Linked DNA regions of Callithrix jacchus. Each later gene encodes a partner of the first gene's protein in a complex. Links are inferred from orthologs where the notes say so. Each region holds a gene or a part of one and is shown on either strand. Other genes may lie near its edges.

Region 1 (10,037 bases):
ATTCAGTTCCTGGCATAATGAGGCCACTGCTCTAACAGAGTTTATACAGTTACTCAGTTGTATAAATAGCACATTCAGAGTAGTTTTTGAAAGGTCAAGAAAAACAAGTGAAAAGATACATGAAATGGCTCCAAATGATAATTATTCAAACCTTTATAAAATGTTTTCATACTCTCATGCTGTCAGATGTACTTCTTACACTCTTCTCATCTTGGTTTATAAGCACACCAAGGTCTGACAGATGAGCTTGCTTTCTACTCAAGAGCAAAAGAATTTGCACTTTAGCTATATGTGAAGGTTATTATTTTAACAAATTCCTGATTCTAATAAAGTTATTTTATTACATGAATCCCTGAGATTCTGCTGTCTTATTTGGGAGGTGTTTCCATCTGTCCTAAGGGCAATGGGGGTATTCTGACCTTTAGCCTTAGGAACAACAGATCCAAGATGGTGATTTCCATGAGCAAGTGAGCCAGAAGTTGGATAACCCACCCACCTAGGTGGATAAGGATGAATCACTGATTTTCTTGTTTTGTTTTTTTACTAAGACAAGTAACTGAAGTAGTTCCTCAGGTTTCTGTTTACCATCAGTTCTGGATTTTCTAGGGAAAACAAACAAACCCACTCATATGGTCCTGGAAATCCATTTGTACAACAGTCAACCCCGAACCTAAATGGGGTTCTGCTCAAGCCTGAAAAGGTTTGTCCCTGTAACAAGCCGGGGTTGACATCTGCAAGTATGACATTAAGGTCAGAATACTGGCTGCAGGCAAGAAAGCCAGTTAATGTGAAACAGCAAGAAGTAAGGCCACACTCACCCACAGTGATAGTCATGGCTCTTCATGTGTCAGGCCCCCAGCCATGAGGGCTCCCTCTGAGCTACCCAAATCATCGCACCAGCTGAATGGCCTTCCAAGCAGCATCACGGAGAACACTGTGGGAAGAACGCATGGGACAGCAAAGGCTCTTGCTGCTGCCAGTAGCCACTGCTTGAATTTAATTCAGAAGTAAAGCCTAGTAAAAAGTTTTGTGTAAGAAAGAGATGGAGGGAGAACCTACATTTTAAAAGACTTATGAGGCTTACCAACCAATGATAATTTATAGGGAGGAGAGCTGACATAGGAAGGTGGAAATTTGAGTGGACAGTTGATGACATTAAGGGATTACTGCTAATATTTCTAGGAGTGAAGGCCTTTCAATCCTGAGACACCTGCCACAACATTATTGGACAGTCACGGTGACATCTGGAACATGCCTAAAAAGAACAGAAGGTGAAGGGGAGACAGACATGAAGGAAGAGGGGCTGGGAGCTGAGGAATGCTGGAAGCCGAATGGTAGGCACAGAGGAGTTTATTTTACTGTTCTGTCTACTTTTTAATAGGTTATATTAAAAACTGTTAAGTTAAAAAAAATATAGAAAAGCCCGACTGATGCACAAAAACTTAACACAACAGATAAATGAGGAGTTGATTCCCATAACATATACAAGGATTCCCTGACATCCTTCTCCAGACTGTGTAAATAAAGGAAGCTTCCCCTACTGAACTGGCAATGCTGTTTTCAAAGCAATAAATATTATTTGATATAAGATGTGAAGTAAAAAAGCTCATAAGCTCCAGTGTCAAACTGCTATAACCTAAATTGTATAAAACTGAAGACACATCACAGCTGAAATAATTTAAATCAAAGTGACAATGAGATTTGACTTAACAGAAGTTCTATTTACACATCCATTAGGTAAAGCAAGGTACACCCACTTCAAAACACATCCATATGTGAATGTACATCTGAGTACCGTTCAGCAATAAGTTTTTAAGAGAACTTCAGTTTAATAAAGCTAAATGGGGAGAAGGAAAGTTTGCATTTAACATGGTATTAAACAAAACCAAAAGGCTGAAACTCATGTTTAGACAACACAAGTCACTAATCACTAGGCAAAGAAAACAGTCCACAGCAGGTGGCACAAATAATTCCTATACAAATGTTGCAAATATTCTGCTTTAAGGAAACATAAAACAATGGTTGACGTGTCATTTACAAATACAGAATATAAAAATGCACAGCCCCCTTGAACAAAAATCCAGCAAATGTTTTTAGATGACTTCCCTCAGACCCACCCCCACATTAGGCCATTCTGGTGAATTACTAGCATCTGCCATTTCATCTTTTAAAAGAATGATGGGCACATGTGCTGTCCAGGGTGGAAGACAAGTGTCATATAAAAAGGGGCCGGAGCTGGCCAGAAACATTTGGACAAGTGCGTCTCAAAAACTCTGTGTTCTAGTTTTGCTTCTGTGCCTCAATCTTGAAGATACAAAAGCCGCTTAGGACACCACATCCTGGGCCCAGCCTGCAGAGTGGTCACTTTTCTGCCACCGCCCTCAATATGAGGGAGCACTGAAAGGCTCCTGACTTAGGGCCTCTTCCCCTTTCTGTGAAGCAGAGGAGCCATCTGTGGTTGCGAGTGGGCAGCACACCAGGGCTGTCCATCCCCAGTGCACTGGTGGGTAGTGTGGGTGGTCCTCCGGGCCAGAGTGAAGTAAGGCATTTCCTGTCTCCCAGAGTCCTGTTCACTTTCTCAGGAACAGCTTGGCAAAATCGGCATTGGACATCTTGGGTGCCTCGGTGGCTGGTGGGGTGGCAACTGCAGGAGCTGGGGCAGGGCCGTTCTCGGCCTGAGGAGCTGCAGCACTTGGGCGCTGCAGGGCACGAGGCAGCAGAGCCAGCTGCGTCCTTCCCTTCCCCCTCCTAGAAGAGCAAACACCGAATGGACCTTTTGAAGCAACAATTCATGTCCCCTGGTTTATTTGTAAAAATAAGCCAAGACAGTTTTAATATAACCAGAAGTTAAAAAGTGAAAAAGAAGGATGAGATAATCCTTGCCTCCTTAATTCTGGCTATTAAGTAAAAACTGCTTCAACAAACGACCTTGTTCAGTTTTGGCAAAGATTAACCCTGAGCACCAGTCACACTCAAAGGGAATCAGAGTGACTATCGCCTCTCAGACCTCACCAGTCACCCAGCAATTCCGCTATCTCCTCCTCATCCCTATCGGGGGGAAAAGCACAGCTTATATGGATCATAGCTAGGGCTGTAGACTGGCACACACATGGGTATGAGATTTTGTTTTAAACACACAGATCCAACTGGCAAAGGGGACTTTAAAATAGTCACTGCCTTTAGTTCTGTAATAAATGACGAAGTGTAAATTGGCCAATACCAGGCAGGGGTCACTGCCTAGGCTTGCACCCTCCCTGGACCTGCTCTGGACACCTTGCTCCAGTGGAACCACAGTGATTACCACAAGAACAGCAGACCTTGGCTTTTCTGTCCTAACAGGAAGCTAATTCGTCCTGGTTAATCCCACCATGGTCCATGAACTGGTGTCAGCCACAGTGAAGTCTGCACTAATCTACTGTGCAAGCACTTACGCTCCGTATGTCTGCGGTGAAGGCATGGGGCCACCTGATGCCTTCCTGGCCTCTGGCTTCTCTGGAACCTTCCTCTGAGGAGGGTTGCTGATTGCCACTTTGATGACATTCTCTTTGATAGTCATGCCGTCCATCTTCATCACAGCCTGCGACGCCTGGGATTCATTTTCATACTCTACATAGGCCAGGCCCTGGAAGAGGCAAGATCCAGAACCAAGTCAGATCCTGCAGACCCAGGATACAACCTCCTCCCACAGGGCAGGCACTGGGCCTCCTCCTGGAGACCAGCAGACCAGGACACAGCAGACGCCCCACCAACAGATTATCTTCCCCACCACCACATCCTCTGTCTACAGGCTTGTTTCCCCACCCTCCTCTCCTTCCCTATTGCTGTTACGCACTGTAACTTCAGATAACCCTTCCAAGTTCAGGACACGTGGTATGTGCTGCGGAAGTAGAAAGAAAGAAGGAAACAGACAGATGGACCAGTATAAATCCAGCAAATAAACCAAGAGGTGGACGGAACACAGGGTGAGCAGTCCAGGTGCCCAGGTGAGCCCTCGTGTTTCTGTGCCCTTACACCGCACCCCGCCCCCCCGTTTCATCTTCTTTTTCTCTCCATTAACCTGGATAAAGGGGAGGAGGTAAAGTGGGCAGTGGGTAGACAGTAACACAAAACCACTTACTACTCAAAATGGGGCACAAAAGGACTTAGCAGGAGACTGCGGGGCAAGAAGGAAGGACATGAGAAGACGTACTGCAATGGAGGGACTCAAGGGGCCTGGCTGGAGGCCCCAGGGAAAGAGAGGCCTGGGAAAGAGGGAGGAGGCTACACAAGGTGCCCACCCCAAAGCCTGTGTGCTGCTGGTCACAGGGCTTCCCTCAAGCCCCACAGCAAGGGGCCAGAGTATGGTGAATTCATGATCATCTATTTCCAAGTGCCTTATTCTTTTTAGTACAATTAACTACAAACAGGTTAATCTGACTCCAAATATAAGTAGAGCTAAGTGTGCAGATCTTTGTTAAAATAACTTTTCTCAGCAGATGAACTAGGAACCCACCCTAAAGGTAAATAATCTTTGAACAGATACAAAAACGAAGTTTGCATGAGTCTTGAAGAGGCACAGTCTGCTCTAACGCTGACCTTTGGTTTGCCAGCCCTATTGGTGACCAGCCTGAGGTCCTTCACGGTGCCATGAACCTTACAGATTTCCTCTAGTTCCTCTTTAGTGCAGGAGAAAGGCAGGCCCGAGATGAACAGCTTGTGTTTCTCCAGGGAAGTGCTGTACCTGAACACCTGTAGGAAGGAAGGGAGAAAAAAAACCATGATTCAAGGCCTGACCCTGCTCACCTGACTCCTCTGACACCAGCCTTGTCCCCAGGAGCATGCCCAGCCAGGCAGACCAGAGCCAAGCCATGCTGAAGCTTGTTAACAGAGCCACCGGGCTGAGTCATTTAACCTCTCTAGCCTCCATGTCTTCCTCTGTAAAATGGCAAGAATAAAAGTGGCCAGTCACAGAGTCTGATAAGGGTTCAATGAGGTGACATACATACAACACATTTAGCACAGTCTCTTGTCACTACCAAGCACCCAGCAGCAAGTACCTATGCCATGAGTCAGACCTCAGTCAACCAGGTCAGCATGGACCTCGGCAGACAAGGAAGTTTAGATCCAAACAGCATAAAACTTCTGTTTATATCCTAAATATCACTGCTGCAGGAAGGAAGTCCCTACAGCAATCACAGATACAAGGCATTCTGTTTTTCCATAAACCTACCTTAAAATCGGGGTTTTTGCTCTTATCCACACAGGGGGAAACAAACATTGGCCTCCCCTCTACACTTTTACGGTCCATCTCCAGTGCCTGAAGGGCTGATTTCTCTTCTTTAAACTCCACATAGCAGTAGCCTCGGAAATCCCCACGGTTGCTGAAGATGGGTCGGATCTGGACCACCTCCCCACAGGCCTCGAAGAGCGGCTTGAGCTTCGCATCCGGCTCCTGCATGCTATAGGGCAGGTTGCTGACAAAGACGGTGATGCTGTCCTTGCTGCTATCGTGCAGCACCTTGGGCATGTCCCTCTTCAGGGAGGCTGCCTTCTCCTTCTGCTTCGAAGGGGGCTCCACATCTACAACAGCACATTTCCCAGCGGGCCCTGCTGCTGATTCCATGTTTTGTGTTTCTCCAGCTGCAGGGATGCTGTTCTCCACCCTTCTGCGTTTGGAAGGCTGCTCTACAGGTTTTCAAAAGAAAAAATAGCCTTGGTTAACCGTTACCTCTCTTTGGGGAGCTTGAACAGAGGTGTGATGTGAATGAGCTGTGACAGCTGCATGTGACACTCCCTCGCCAGACACAGAAGAGCAAGCATCACCCGGAGAAGTCTTTTGTGACCCGCCTGACCTGTCCCACGACTTTCTGTGTGCCCCAGTTATACTCGGGTAAGTGGGCTCAGTCAAGTGGAAGTAATAATATAAATCCCCATTGTCCACTCTTAATTATACAAAAGGCCAGAGGGTCTCAAAGTTCAGAAAGCAAATCCCAGGGCCCCTCTCCTACAAAAGCCCAGGTCAACAGGGGTGGGACAGGACATGAGAATCTGCACTGGAAAAGCACCCTAGTAACTGATGCCCATGCCCCACAGAGCACATTTTGGAAAGCACTACAAAGGGTCTGTGATTTCTAAAACACTTTCAATATTACCTTGTGTCCTTAAGAGAGCTTAACCACAATCTTTTACTCCAGTCTGTCCTCACCACTGCCTCCAGAGGGCCAGGACTAAAGTTCAACAGATGTCTGCCTCCAGCAAACAGACCTCCCCATCAGTTCACCCAACACTTTTGCAGTGAGTGGAAAGCCCTGCACGCTGCTACTGTATTCAAGAGCGCACCTGGGCTGGGTCCAGCTGACTGGCCCGCCTACCACTCCAGCCTCCTCAAACACTGCCCCATCTCTTCTCCATGTATCCAAGTTCAAACCCAATTATTTGCTCTTACAGAAATTGCCAGGCTGTGATAGGCCTTCAGGCTGTGCTAACACTGGCTCCCTGTCTAGCTCGGCCCTTCCCTTCTTGATGCCAGACAGTCACTCAGTCTCCCCGCTGGATTTCAAACCTCTTCCCCTTCAGTCTTCCTGGTACAGAGCTAGCCTTCTTTGGCCTCCACCACTACTAACAATTCCATTTCCCACAGTCCTGATGACATGCCACCGTGGTCACATATCACATTTGCCTTACTCTACTAAACTGGGAGGCCTGAGGGGCAATGAGCCCCCCTTAGTTATTAAGGAAAGCCCAAACAAGGTGTGCAAGCAAGGTCAACTCAAAGATGGATGACTCCATTCCCAGTTCTTTCTGGCTCATACATCTGTACCAAGAAAGTGTACAGAGTCCCTTACACATCCAGAGACAATTCTTTTTTTTTCTTTTTATGAGATGGAGTCTTGCTCTGTCTCCCAGGCTGGAGTTCAGTGGTGCGATCTCAGCTCATTGCAAACTCCACCTCCTATGCTCAAGTGATTCTCTTGTTTCAGCCTCCCAAGTAGCTGGGAAAACAGGCACCTGCCATCATGCCTGGCTAATTTTTGTATTTTTAGTAGAGACAGGTTTTCACCATGTTGGCCAGGTTGGTCTTAGATCCCTGACCTCAGGTGATCCACCCACCTCGGCCTCCCAAAGTGCTGGGATTAGATATGAGCTACGGCACCCCGCCATCAGAGACAATTCTTTACCTTAACTGACTCTGAAATAAATATGACCCAGAGCTGTTCATCCCTAAAATTACAAGGGTGAAAGAAACACTGCTGGAAAATTCCACTAAGTCACAACCATTAAAAGCAGGGCCAAGGCTGGGCATAATGGCTCATTTGTAATCCCAGCACTCTGAGAGGCCAAGGCAGGAGGATCACTTGAGGTCAGGAGTGCCAGACCAGCCTGGTTAACATGGTGAAACCCCATCTCTACTAAAATACAAAAATTAGCTAGGCATGGTGGCCGGCACCTGTAATCCCAGCTACACAGGAGGCTAAGGCAGGAGAATCACTTGAACCCAGAGGTAGAGGTTGCAATGAGCTGAGATCACACCACCACACTTGAGGATGGAGAACTGAGAAAGACTCACTCTCAAAAAAAAAATTTTTTTAATAAATAAATAAAGCAGGGCCAAGCCTGGTAGGTCTGTGCAGGGTGAGGGCTGCTGCAGTGGTGTGCAATGCTACAGCCTGAATGGAAGGAAGAAGATGAGCAACATGGGGCAGTGACAGAGACCCCGCCTGAGATATGGAAGCCAGAATGAAGATGCAAGGGGGTCCATGCAGGGCCGTACCTGGCCCCAGGTGTAGGAGACCAGACAGGGTGGGGATGGCACCCACAAGAAGGGGAGGCAGGAACAGGAAACTGATTTCATAAGTACAGGGGCTGGATGGAATAAGTGAGGATGCTGAGGATAAAGGGAACCAGGTTTCTCAAGGTCAGAGAAGGGTATGACACAGCTGGGCACAGTGGCTCATGCCTATAATCCCAGCACTTTGGGAGACCAAGGCAGGCAGGTCACTTGAGGCCACAAGTCTAAGACCAGCCTGGCCAACATGGCAAAACTTCATCTCTACTAAAAATACAAAAAAATTAGCCAGATGTAATGGTGCGTGCCTGTAATCCCAGCTATTTGGGAGGCTGAAGCACAAGAATCACCCAAACCTGGGAGACGGAGGTTGAAGTGAGCCGAGATCATGCCAGTGCACTCCAGCCTGGGCAACAGAGTGAGACTGTCTCGAAAATAAATGAGTACATAAATTTTAACAAGAGAGAGAAGGTTGCTGCAAGTGTGAAAAGGAACCCTGTGGTGTTAGACTGGAACTGGAGGTACTGGTGTGACATCATGACTTGCAGTATATATAAATAGTTACAGAAGTAAATATCGACATAAATATGTCTGTGTACACATGCACGCACACACACACTCCCTACCCTTGACAACACAGTCCTAGGAGCAATACCCAATAGCAGTGAGCATAACTAGCACCTTCTAAATACCACTCATCACTCAAAGGAACCTTGGAGAAATGACAGACTCCAGGGCTGAGTTAGGGAAGATGACCCTTGGGAACTGTGTGCTAGAAGGTAAGGAAATGATCAAAGAACAAGAGGACGGGTCAAAGGGGCCTGTGTGAAAAAACTCTTGCTAGCCAAACCTGGGATAAGTAGAGCATCAACATAATTACCAAAAGGGCCATCGCCAGCAATGAAACAAAGCGAAATCAGAGGCCACCTGACGGGATTCAATGAGCAGGCCACAGGAGCACCTGTGCACTATTCCTGCCCGAGATGCATGAGCAGAATCCAATCCCCAGGAAGCCTCAGACACACCCAGGCTGAGGGACTCAACAGAGTGTGTCATCGGAGTAAATACAAGAATGCAGGTCATCACAGTAAAAACAAAGCTGAGGAGTGCTCCAGACTGAAGGAGATCCAGCAGACAGGACACCTCAACACAACAGTGCATCCTGATCCAGATCCTTTCACTACAAAGGACATGCCTATGCCTGGGGTCTGAATATTAGACAAGAGTAGTGATCACTGCTAACCTTGGCTCCAATGGCTGCATGCCAGTCATGGAGAAGAGGGCCCTTGTCTGCAAGACGTACACCCTAACAGTGATCAAAGGGTGATGGGTACCAAGCTGGTAATGCATTCTCAAATGGTTCAGGGAAGAACGTTCAACTGTTTTTGCAACTTCTCTAACTTTGAGACCTTTCAAAACACAATTTCTCAAGAGCTCCTTACCTTCTTCATCATCGCCCCACTCCTTCTCATCATCCTCATCTGCTCCGCGCTTATCTGGGCCTCTGGTCTTCTTCTTCTTTTTCAGTGCTTTCTTCTCAGCCCGGGCTCTTTTCCGTTGTTCAGCCTTTTCTTCTTCTTGCTGCACAAGGGCTGCTTCCTTCTCTGCAGCCTAGAAAAGTGGGAAGATGAGGCATTGCTGCATGCGGGGATGACATTCACTGTACTTAATTTGTCAGGAAAGGGGAGATGGGGTGGAAATTCATTACTAAATGAAAAGCAGAGACCATGAGAAAAGGCGGTCAGGCTCACAGATATTCCACACCAGGGCTCATTCAGGTTCCTCGGAATTCTGGATCTGACGTCTGTTATATTAGCAATTTCCTCACCTCAATCATTACTCACCAAAAGGGGAAAAAATTCATAAAACTGAGGCCCTAAATAAGTTGGGGTGTTCATGTTCCACTCATTAGGCTAAGTGAGGCTCTTCTTTTTCTTTTTTTACTAATTCTAGTAAATTTTAGATCCAAAATTCCCTCACTACATGAAACAAGTACCTAATATTGGGGCTGAAGTTTTAGACCAGTCTAAAATGATGATACAAGGCAGGTTAAACATTAATCTAAATATTTTATAATTAATACTGAGTAAAAGACACTTAGGAAAACGTAAAACGTCTTGACAAGAAACATCCATACCAAATCAAACCAAAATAGCTAACAGGGCTGCCAAAGACTTCAAAAAGACACTGTCATTACCTTCAATCTCTGCTCATTGACACGAGCTAACCGGGTTTCAGTTTTCTGAACAGCTATATCCCAATCTTCTAAAGA
Region 2 (10,618 bases), about 54 Mb from region 1:
TTTTAATACTAAGATGTATTAAATTTTAAAGAAAAAATATGTTTTCCACCTTAGAAAGATCTTTTCTTGCTTTGGATTGGGATCCTGATTTGAAAAAAAGATATTTTGATGAAAATGCTGCTGAGGTAAGTCATCACTTGCTCATTCATGTTACCTATCCTTGATTTACTTTATGTAATTACCAGAGATAATCATACTGTTTTGTTATATTCTTTGCTTCCACCAAATACATTTATTTTGCCAGTAAAAAATTGGTCATGAACTAGAAAAGAAAGTCTTTGCAAAAATACCTTTTTTTTTTAAAGATTCAAAGTTTGTTTTCAACATGCTTTGGTCATCCAGATAGGAGTATAAAGGAATTATTTAGAAGTATGGTATAAATCTCAACTGAAATAAGCTTTATGATTCTTTTGAGAAAGTTTAGGAGTTTTCATTATTATTCATAGTAAGATGGTATCACTAAAATGAGTTTTGTTTCATTTGTTCTCTTAACTCAAGAAATACTTCTCTTTAGGACTTTGAAAAACATGAAAGTGTGGAGTATAAACCTCCTAAAAAACCCTTTGTGAAATTAAAAGATTGCATTGAACTTTTTACAACAAAAGAAAAGCTAGGTGCTGAAGATCCCTGGTAAGAGACAAAATTGTTTTTGTTTTCTTTAAGGATTTATTCTGAGGTGTGTGCCACATCAAGTTGAAAAAGTAATTACTGAATTTCTTTTGATAATAAATACTAAAGCTTTCTTTATATAGTAAGTTGTAGCCTTTTAAGAGGGATGGGAATGTCTTAAAAAAATACTACTACAGGCTGGGCGCAGTGGCACACGCCTATAATCGCAGCATTCTGGGAGGCCAAGGTGGGCGATCACAAGGTCAAGAGATCGAGACCATCCTGGCCAACATGGTGAAACCCCGTCTCTACTAAAGTTACAAAAAAATTAGCTGGGTGTGGTGGCATTTGCCTGTAATCTCAGCTACTTAGAAGGCTGAGGCAGGAGAATCGCTTGAACCCAGGAGGTGGGAGTTTCAGTGAGCCGAGGTTGCGCCACTGCACAACCTGTCGACAGAGTGAGACTCCATCTCAAAAAAACACCTGTAATCCTAGCACTTTGGGAGGCTGAGGTGGGTGGATCACCTGAGGTCGGGAGTTCAGAACCAGCCTGGTTATCATGGTGAAAGCCCATCTTTATTTTAAAAAATAAAATAAAATAAAAAAATTAAAAGTCCTATTTGCAAAAAAAAATTTTTTAATTAAAAACTATTATAGTGTTGCCTTAATTTCATTACTGTGTTTTCCATAATAGTCATTATACTATTAATAATTCGTTTTACTTTTTTTCCACGAAATTTTAGCTATATAATCATTTTGAGAGAAGCTTTTTAGGAAAAGTATAGTGAAACATTTTGTGGTGGAGTTCCATTAGAGCCCAGAAGTTTTGAGATTTTCTAATACCTATCTTCCAGGACAAATTTGCAATCTATGTCTTTTTCACATACTAAAAGAGAAATAATCTAGTCCTCATTATTTCTTTCAATGTGTATTTGTATATTAATTTATAATGGTTAAATCTATTTGGAAAATGTGTTGAAAATAAAAATAGGAAAAAGAGTTGCTTTCAACCTGGTACATATTAGGCATATGATAATTGCCCACTGAATAAATGTAGAACTTTCCAAACATTTCTGGTCTATTATTTTCATTAATGGGGGTTGTTTGTACCTCTATCAAACTTTAAATGCTTCTTTTTATTCTTAGGTATTGTCCGAATTGTAAAGAACATCAGCAAGCCACAAAGAAATTGGATTTGTGGTCCCTGCCTCCGGTACTTGTGGTACATCTCAAGAGATTTTCTTACAGTCGATATATGAGAGACAAGCTGGATACTTTAGTTGATTTTCCTATCAAGTAAGTTTTAATTGTACTTAGAAGCATTGGGCAACTCTTCTTTCAGACTGATGCTTTTTGTTAGTATCCTTTTTTTGTGAGACAAAGTCTTGCTTTTTCACCAGGCCAGAGTGCAGTGGCACAATCTCGGCTCACTGCAACTTCCACCTCCCAGATTGAAGTGATTCTCCTCCCTCAGCCTCCTGAGTAGCTGGGACTACAGGCGAGCACCACCATGCCCAGCTAATTTTTGTATTTCTTTAGTAGAGACAGGTTTCACCATGTTGGCCAGAATGGTCTCAATCTCTTGACCTTGTGATCTGCCCGCCTCAGCCTCCCAAAGTTCTGGGATTACAGGTGTGAGCCACTGCGCCCGGCCATAGTTATTATCCTTTAGTAAACATCAGATGTCATTGGACCCAATTGCAGCTTTCAAGTTTGTTTTGGAGTAGTTCTAACAATTTATAAGGATCAGTGTTTCAAAATTTTAATTTTTTTTTAGAGATTTTCCAAAGACCAAAGAGAAAATATACTTTTTTTTTTAAAGATGGGGTTTCACCATGATGGCCAGGCTGGTCTTGAATTCCTAACCTCAGGTGATCCACCCACCTCGGCCTCCCAAAGTGCTAGGATTACAGGCGTGAGCCAGCGCAGCCAGCCAAAAATATACTTTTAAAAAAATAATAAAACTCCTTCTGTATTACGTTATCTATGGGTTAATTGGTCTCATTTATAAATCTAAGATACTTTATGGTACTTAGTGATTTTGTTTATCCTAGGAATTATTTCATGATTACTCATCACTTATTCCTAAATATGCCAGTTTGGTTTTTTGTTTGTTTGGCTTTTGAGATGGAGTCTTACACTGTTGCCCAGGCTGGAGTGCAGTGGTACAGTCTCAGCTCACTGCAACCTTCATCTACTAGGTTCGAGTGATTCTCCTGCCTCAGCCTCCCAAGTAGCTGGGATTACAGACACCTGCCACCACTTATATTTTTAGTACAGACAGTGTTTCACCATATTTACCAGGCTGGTCTCAAACTCCTGGCCTCAAGTGATCCTCCCGCCTTGGCCTTCCAAAGTGCTGGAATTACAGTCATTAGCCACCTCGCTCAGCCCTTAATATGCTGTTTTCAAAAAGACTAAAATAAAACTGAATAATGGAATTGCTTAGAAGGATAACACAGTAGTGAAATAAATCATCACTATTGCATCATCCTTCAGTTTTCCTGTTGCCATTATATGACATCATATTTGTAAAAAGATATATTTATGGCCATACCAACTTCAATGCACCCCAATCTTGTCTGTAAAAAGATATTTAAAAAGTCTATACATCTTCATATTCTTTTTTTTCTTTTACCCCCTGCTTTTACTAAACAGTTGTGAATTCAGAATGACAAAAAGAGAACATTGTATTCTCAATCACTTATTCAACAGGAAGGACTTTGTCACACAATATTTTGCACAAGAACTTGTACTCTCCCATTTTGCAAAGAGAACTTTCAGTGGTATTATTTGATATTCTGTGGTATTTGTGCACCAAAATTTACTTGATACAGTTAGTAAATGGACAAATGCTAATGGCAGGTGTATCTACAAAGGTAACTAGAAGGAAATAGATTACATAAAACAAAATATTTATTGGATTGCTCATACTAATTGATGGTTATAAATTTAAAATTATATATAATTATTGAATAAAAAAAGATCATGTTCTTTTTAACAAAATAGTGAGCCATTAAAAGTTTTCAATAATATAGCATTTGGCAATGTAAGAATAAGAAAAAGAATCAGGAGTAATGACAAACTAGAATCTGTTAGAGATGTATTTAAAAATTAGAATCGTAATTGCTTTTTAATGATGCAAATACAAAAAGAACAACCAGAAATAATAATAACCTATTTACAAGATGGTCATTTTCCAGGTTCTTAAATGATAGATTATGATTAGTCAGTTACATTCAAAGAATGTTGCCCATTTCAGGTTTATAGGTCATCAAAGCCAACAAATGTAGAATAAAAATTTGATATATTAATATTTTTTAAAACTTCTGAGAAAGTTGTTTTCACTGTTCTTGTATTTTTCTTCACATAAATCACTTCCTTTTTTTTAATGTCCCACCCTGCCCATAAACTACTTTTTATAAAATTGACTTTAAAATAAAGATCCATTGGACCCAGGTGGTAAATAGTGATGACTGTTTCTCCTGATATACTGAGAATTAAATGTGTTAGCATAAAAACATTAATCTGAATAACAACATTCAACGTTTGTATTTATTTATTTTTTAATTTTTGTGGCTACATAGTAGGTGTATATATTTGTGGGGTACATGAGATGTTTTGATGCAGTGTGAAATAATCACATCATAGAGAATGGGATATCCATCCTCTCAAGCATTTATCCTTTCTGTTACAAACAATCCAGTCACACTCTTAGTTATTTTTATATGTACAATTAAGTTATTATTGACTATAGTCACCCTGTTGTGTGATCAAATAGTTGTTTTATTCATTCATTTTTTTTTAACTCATTACCATCCCCACCCTTCCCAGCCTCTATTAACCATCCTTCTACTCTTTCTGTTCATGAGTTCAGTTGTTTTGATTTTTAGATCCCACAAATGAGAACATGTGATGTTTATCTTTCTGTGCCTGGCTTATTTCATTTAACATAATGATCTCCAGTTCCATCCATGTTGTTGGAAATGGCAGGATCTCATTCTTTTTTATGGCTGAATAGTACTTCATTGTGTATATGTACCACACTTTTTTTAACCATTCATCTGTTGATGGACACTTACTTCCATCAACATTACAACATGTAGTTCCATCGAATCAACGAGATTTGGTTGTTGTTTCCAGATCTTAGCTGTTGTGAAAATTGCTACAACGAACATGAGAGTGCAGATATCTCTATGATATACTCAATGAAACATTTTAACATTTTCAACCCATAAACAAATCTTTGCCAAAACATTAATATCTCAGAGGTACATGTATGATTTGTTTTGTAAGTTACTTGACTCATAATTTCTTTATTGAGATACACACACACACACACACACATGTCAAACAACAATGGCAGAAGGGAATAGAATTCATTGCATTTAGGGACAACATAAAATTAACTTGATTTCTTTTTTAAACAGTGACTTGGATATGTCGGAATTCTTAATTAATCCAAATGCAGGTCCTTGCCGCTATAATTTGATTGCTGTTTCCAACCACTATGGAGGGATGGGAGGAGGACACTGTAAGTTGACAGTTTGCCTTTTTACCCAAATCATGGTGTTTGAAGAACTCCAGGCTTTTTTCTTTACGATATTTATTAATTCTTAAGGATAAAATCTCAGATGTGTCTTGCATATAGTAATTAAATATTGATTAATGAATGAGTCAGCTTTTGAACCTTTTTTTTTCCACACTCATAGAGGATTGAGTTCATTATACTCCTCAGTTCAGGGCCCAGGAGGGAATGTTGTTGTCTTAGAGTGCATTTCCCTCCACATTCTCCTTCCCCTTTGCTTTCTAACAAGTTTGATGCATATACTCTTGTAAATCATTAATATTTATTCATTTATATAATTAGTACTGTGGTATCGATCTCACTAGGTCTTGACTCTTACTAAGATTTATCTATGTTATTTTGTGTCTGTTTAGTCAGTTGTTTCTCACTGCTCATGATTTACATCTACCATATTTTATCTCTCCACGTACCTTTTGATGAACCTCTAAATTGCCTTTCACTTTCTACCACTGTAAGACTGATAAGCAATTGTTTATGGTATCCTGTGTAAGAATTTCTTTGGGCTGCATACCCAAAAGTGAGATTGCTGAGTTTAAGTAAGTGTTGTCAGATTGTTCCACTCTACATTCTGCAAGCGATTTATTTTTCTGTTGAACAATATTTGCATTCCTTGGATATATCCTACTTATCTTTGTATATCTTTGATACATAGCTGGATTTAGTCCAACTTATTTAGGGTTGTTACAGTTTCATTCATAAGTGAAATGGTCTTCTAAGTTTTTTATATTTTCATTTATCTTAGTTTGGAATAAAGATTAGAGTCATTAAACAAGCTAGGATGCTTTATCCTTCGTTTGGTTTTTTTGGAACATCTGGTACAATACAGGAATTGACTATTCATCAAAGTCTAGTAGAATTAACCTGTAAAGCCATCTAGGCTTAACAATAATTGTTTTTATTTATGTTATGCATATTGGTCTCCAGTTTTCTTTTTCCTTTTGTGTATATTTTGATGTTTTCTTTATATCTAAAAGTGTATCCATTTCATTTAGGTTTTCTAATTTATTTAAGAACTGTTTATAATACTTATATTATCCTGTTTTTGTCTTTTTTCATTCTTTTTCTCTGTTATTTTTTTTAAATCAATCTTTCTGGCTGGGTGTGGTGGCTCATGCCTGTAATTCTAGCACTTTGGGAGGCGAAGGCAGGAGGATCACAAGGTCAGCAGATTGAGACCATTCTGGCCAACATGGTGAAACCCTGCCTCTACTAAAAATACAAAAATTAGCTTGGCTTGGTGGCGCATGCCTGTAAATTCCAGCTACTCGGGAGGCTGAGGCAGGAGAATCACTTGAACCAGGGAGTCAGAGGTTGCAGTGAGCCAAAATCACACCACTGCACTCAGCCTGGCAACAGACTCAATCTCAAAAAAAAAAAAAAAAATTAGTCTTCCAGATTTCTCTCTTATTAATCTTTTCAAAGAATTAGCTTTTCATCTTATCAGATTTTTATTTTTGTTGTTGTATCTATGTATTCATTTTTATCTATTTATGTTTTTTGAGACCAGGTCTCGCTCTGTCACCCAGGCTGGAGTACAGTGGCATGATCTTGGCTCACTGCAGCCTCCACCTCCTGGGTTCAAATGATCCTACCAGCTTTGCCTCCTGAGTAGCTGGGACTACAGGCCATCTAATTTTTTGTGTATTTTTAGTAGAGACAGGGTTTCACTATGTTGCCCAGGCTGGTTTTGATCTCCTGGGCTCAAGCGTTCCTCCTACCTTAGCCTCCTGAGTAGCTGGGACTGCAGGTGCACGCCACCACACCTGGCCTGTATGTATTTATTCTATCTAATTGATTTCTTCTCTTCCCTTCATTGTATGGGAATGTAACCTCTTGTTACTCTGGGTTTCTGTGTTACTCTTCTTATAATTTCTTGAGTTGAATGCTTAACCTTTTTGCTCTTCATTGTTTCTCCTATACTGAAGGCTGTAATTAAAGGCTATAAATATTCTGCTAAGTACTGCTTTAGCTGTACTTAATATTTTTATTGTCTTTCAATTGTGTGTATGTTTCAGTTTCCTTTATGATTTCCTAATTAGCCCAATGTTATTTAATCATATGCTTAGTTTCCAAATATACAGAGTTTGTCACTTTGTTCTTTCAGTTTTATTACATAGCAGTTGAGAACATTGTCTTTATTAATCTTTAGGAGTCTGAAAGTTCCCAGTGTCTTAATACGTACATGGTTCGTTCCTTAAATGTTTATATGCTTAGAAAAAAATATACATTTCCCATTTAGATATGGAGTTCTTTGTATCTCTGATAGCTTAAGCTTATCAACTGTATTCAAACCATTACTCTCCCTGGTTATTTTTTATGTTCATTTTATTCCTGAGAGGAATTTTGTCAGGACTCCTACTGAAGTGTTGATTGATCTGCTTCTCCCAACAGTTTTATTAGTCCTTATTAATATTTTGCATAATTACATTTATGTTCATAATGGGTAGCTCTTCTGTGTTGTTCCTTTTACACCAGGATTTGACATTCTTGGCCCCTTTTTTCTTTTTCTCAGCTATTGCAAGTGTTACTCTAGCTTTCTTTTGGATATCATCATTTAACTTACAAACTCTCTGTGCCTTTTTGTTGAATGTGTCTCTTATAAATCACAGAGTAGCATCTGCTCTGCAGTGGTCTTGGATTGAGATTGACAAACTCACAACACACAAAAGGCTTCACCCAGCACCAGGTTGACTTAGATTTAAGACAGGATACAGGTCAAGAAACAATACAGCATACACAGCAACAGCTTAGCAGAGGTCCTATATGTAGCTGGAAGGGGAGAAAATAGGGTAGAGCATGCTCAAAGGAAGCTGCTCAGCCCATTGCTGTTTTCTTCCACTCCTCACCAAGGCTGATTTTCAACCAGAGTGCATGGGGTACAATCATATTAAGTGTCAAATATTTTGTTAGCCCAAGAGGGCTAACCCAGCAGCAATAAGACTCTGATTTAGGTAGCCTGAATATTGCTAATTTCTGTGACGAAGATTGAAGCATGAATTTAAAAGCTTTCTTCTGAATTGTCTTCTCATTTCTGCCTCCAGCCATTCTGTCGCATTCTTCAGTCATTTTGCATGCACATAGAAATATCCTTGAGTTAGTTCATTCTGATATGCCGTTAATCATATCAGTGACATATTGAGAACAGGGTTCTCAGTTTGTTTTTTTTTGTTAGCTTCTTTGACCTTAACTTCCCTCTGCTTCTGTGGTTTTTCTCCGTGGTTGATTTTTGAGGAGAGGGAACCAACAGCAGGTAGAATATGAAACATTTCTTCCACAGGGTAGGTGCTCAGTAAAATCGTTAACTAAACAACTTACAGTTTAAGCCGTTATTTTATTGTGGTGGGTTGGCTGGTTGACTGGTTGGTTGGTTGGTTGGTTGGTTGGTCTTTTCTTCTGGCTTCCAATGAAGCTTCACTAAAGATGATGATTACCTTACTTTCAAAGTAATGTCATTTCCTCTGATCATCATCCAAACAGGTAACTTAATAGAGAATATTGCCCTTTGGTTTTAGCCGTATTAAGGATAATACCTCAATTTCTTATTTATATATGAATGGGAAGGATAATAATTTTTACTTTAGGATGGGAAGAATTATTTAGGTTATGGAAGAACCATACCCTACAAAGTGTCGCTTTTTAGAAGCAGTGACCACAGTTAATTATTTTAGGAACATTTTGCAACTTCATTTCTTCAGTTACTGGGTAGTTTATGTAAGACATTGGATGGGAAATGGGGCTTTTTTTGACTTAAAGATAAAGCAGATCTTTAAAAATTATGTGGATTAATTAATCACTTTTTGCCTTTTTCTTGCTCTGTGCAGTCATCCCTTTGTATCAGTGGATACCACAGATGCTCAAGTTCCTTAGATAAAATACTGTACTATTTGCATATAACCTATCCACATCCTCTCATATACTTGTATGTGTAGATTATTTAGAATACCTAATACGATGCCTGCATGTCACTTCATTCACATGAATTCAGCATAGTACTCAGTACATGGCAAATTCAAGTTTTAGTCTTCAAAACTTTGTGGAAATTTTTTCCCCCAAATATTTTTGATCTGTGGTTGGCTGGGTTCAGGGATGCAGAACCCCTATATACAGAGGACCAATTGTACTTTTGTTAAAAACTGAAAGAGATTCTGGTGTTTGGAAAAAAAAAAAAAACTATAGCTTAATGAGTAGAGCTATCAGAAAACAAATTGTCATAGAAAATTTAATAATAGTTGAAATTTCAAACTTTGAAGTCAGAAACAGGTCTAGGTTTAAATCCTAACTGCTAGCTAATAGCTATAGTACCTTTAGTAAATTATCCTTCTTTTTTGATGCCTTAATTTCCTATCGCTAAGGTGGGGAGAATAATAGTGATAATACCTTCTTTATGAGATGATACATGTAAAATGTATAACACTATGCCTGGTACAAAGTAAGCACTACATAAATGTTAATTACCATTTATTGTCATTAGTGCTATTCTGTGAATTTAAAAGTAATCTATTTTTTCCTGAGATGAAAAAAGTATGTTTAAACTTATATGAAAATTATTTTAGGCATCTAATTGTGAAAATTATTCTAAGATACTTTTAATCATTTGAGTCGATTGATTGTGTAATAAATAAGCCTCATAGATGATTGTCAGGCAGTTTTAATAGATATTCCTTATATAGATGATTATAGACTTTTGAGAAGTCCCCAGAAAACCAAGATCATTTTTTCACAGTGATTATATTTTTTTCATTAGATACTGCTTTTGCAAAAAATAAAGATGATGGAAAATGGTACTACTTTGATGACAGTAGTGTCTCCACTGCATCTGAAGACCAAATTGTGGTAAGCTTGTCTTACATTTCCTGAAAACTATGGGATTCACTGTTTTAAGGAGTGAATATAAATTAGTAAAAGGGGCCCATGGAACACTGTAATCTACATTCTAGTAGCTTGAGTAGCTAAAAGTGACAATTCTTAGTTAAATAAATGTCAAATTGTCCCCTAAATAGAAATTTGTCTTCTAAATTTGCCCACTAATAAAAGCATAAATTGCAAGGTGAAAAAAAATTTAGTAGTTTTCAACATAGAGTTTCTAATAAAAATAATTAAGTTTTTTTGGAAAGTAGATTCAGCTCTTAACTTTCTAGACATTGACTACTCAAAGCCAGAATGTTTAAACAGGAGAAGAAAAATCCCTGAAAACCTTACAGTACCAGTGATCTTTGAAGTCTTATCCTGCCTTATAAAAATTAAGTATTTAAACTCAAAATGACATAATTTGAAAAAACAAATTACAGATATTTAAAATGTTAATGCTTGTATACTTGCTACTTTGATATTTTCTGAATAGTAGAAAAATTAGGAAGTTCTGTCACTTCACATTTAATATCAGTTTATCATTCACCGCTGACTCAGTTTGGTTTTGTGTAT

The links. Proteins that work in one complex are often made in the same cells at the same time.
Region 2: the proteins of SART3 (region 1) and USP15 are in contact, whole or in part, in a crystal structure (PDB 5JJW), measured with the Homo sapiens proteins. The link is inferred for Callithrix jacchus from reciprocal best matches to the Homo sapiens genes SART3 and USP15. Residues at the interface, in NP_055521.1 of Homo sapiens: Ser438, Ser439, Lys440, Glu443, Gln490, Arg493, Glu494, Trp496, Asp497, Met500, Thr501, Ala505, Trp511, Tyr514, Arg533, Cys537; in NP_001239007.1 of Homo sapiens: Ser23, Leu24, Asp48, Trp50, Gly121, Met122, Phe123, Val124, Lys125, His126, Lys128.

Annotation. Positions count from the first base shown.
Region 1 is NC_133510.1:111,406,201-111,416,237, forward strand, and holds the end of SART3 (spliceosome associated factor 3, U4/U6 recycling protein), read right to left. Parts: coding exon 9,963-10,037; intron 9,377-9,962; coding exon 9,208-9,376; intron 5,665-9,207; coding exon 5,210-5,664; intron 4,729-5,209; coding exon 4,576-4,728; intron 3,623-4,575; coding exon 3,432-3,622; intron 2,749-3,431; coding exon 2,571-2,748; 3' UTR 1,333-2,570; downstream 1-1,332. UniProt on the Homo sapiens protein: U6 snRNP-binding protein that functions as a recycling factor of the splicing machinery. Promotes the initial reassembly of U4 and U6 snRNPs following their ejection from the spliceosome during its maturation.
Region 2 is NC_133510.1:57,031,495-57,042,112, reverse strand, and holds part of USP15 (ubiquitin carboxyl-terminal hydrolase 15), read left to right. Parts: intron 1-54; coding exon 55-125; intron 126-514; coding exon 515-630; intron 631-1,755; coding exon 1,756-1,905; intron 1,906-5,039; coding exon 5,040-5,143; intron 5,144-9,941; coding exon 9,942-10,030; intron 10,031-10,618. UniProt on the Homo sapiens protein: Hydrolase that removes conjugated ubiquitin from target proteins and regulates various pathways such as the TGF-beta receptor signaling, NF-kappa-B and RNF41/NRDP1-PRKN pathways.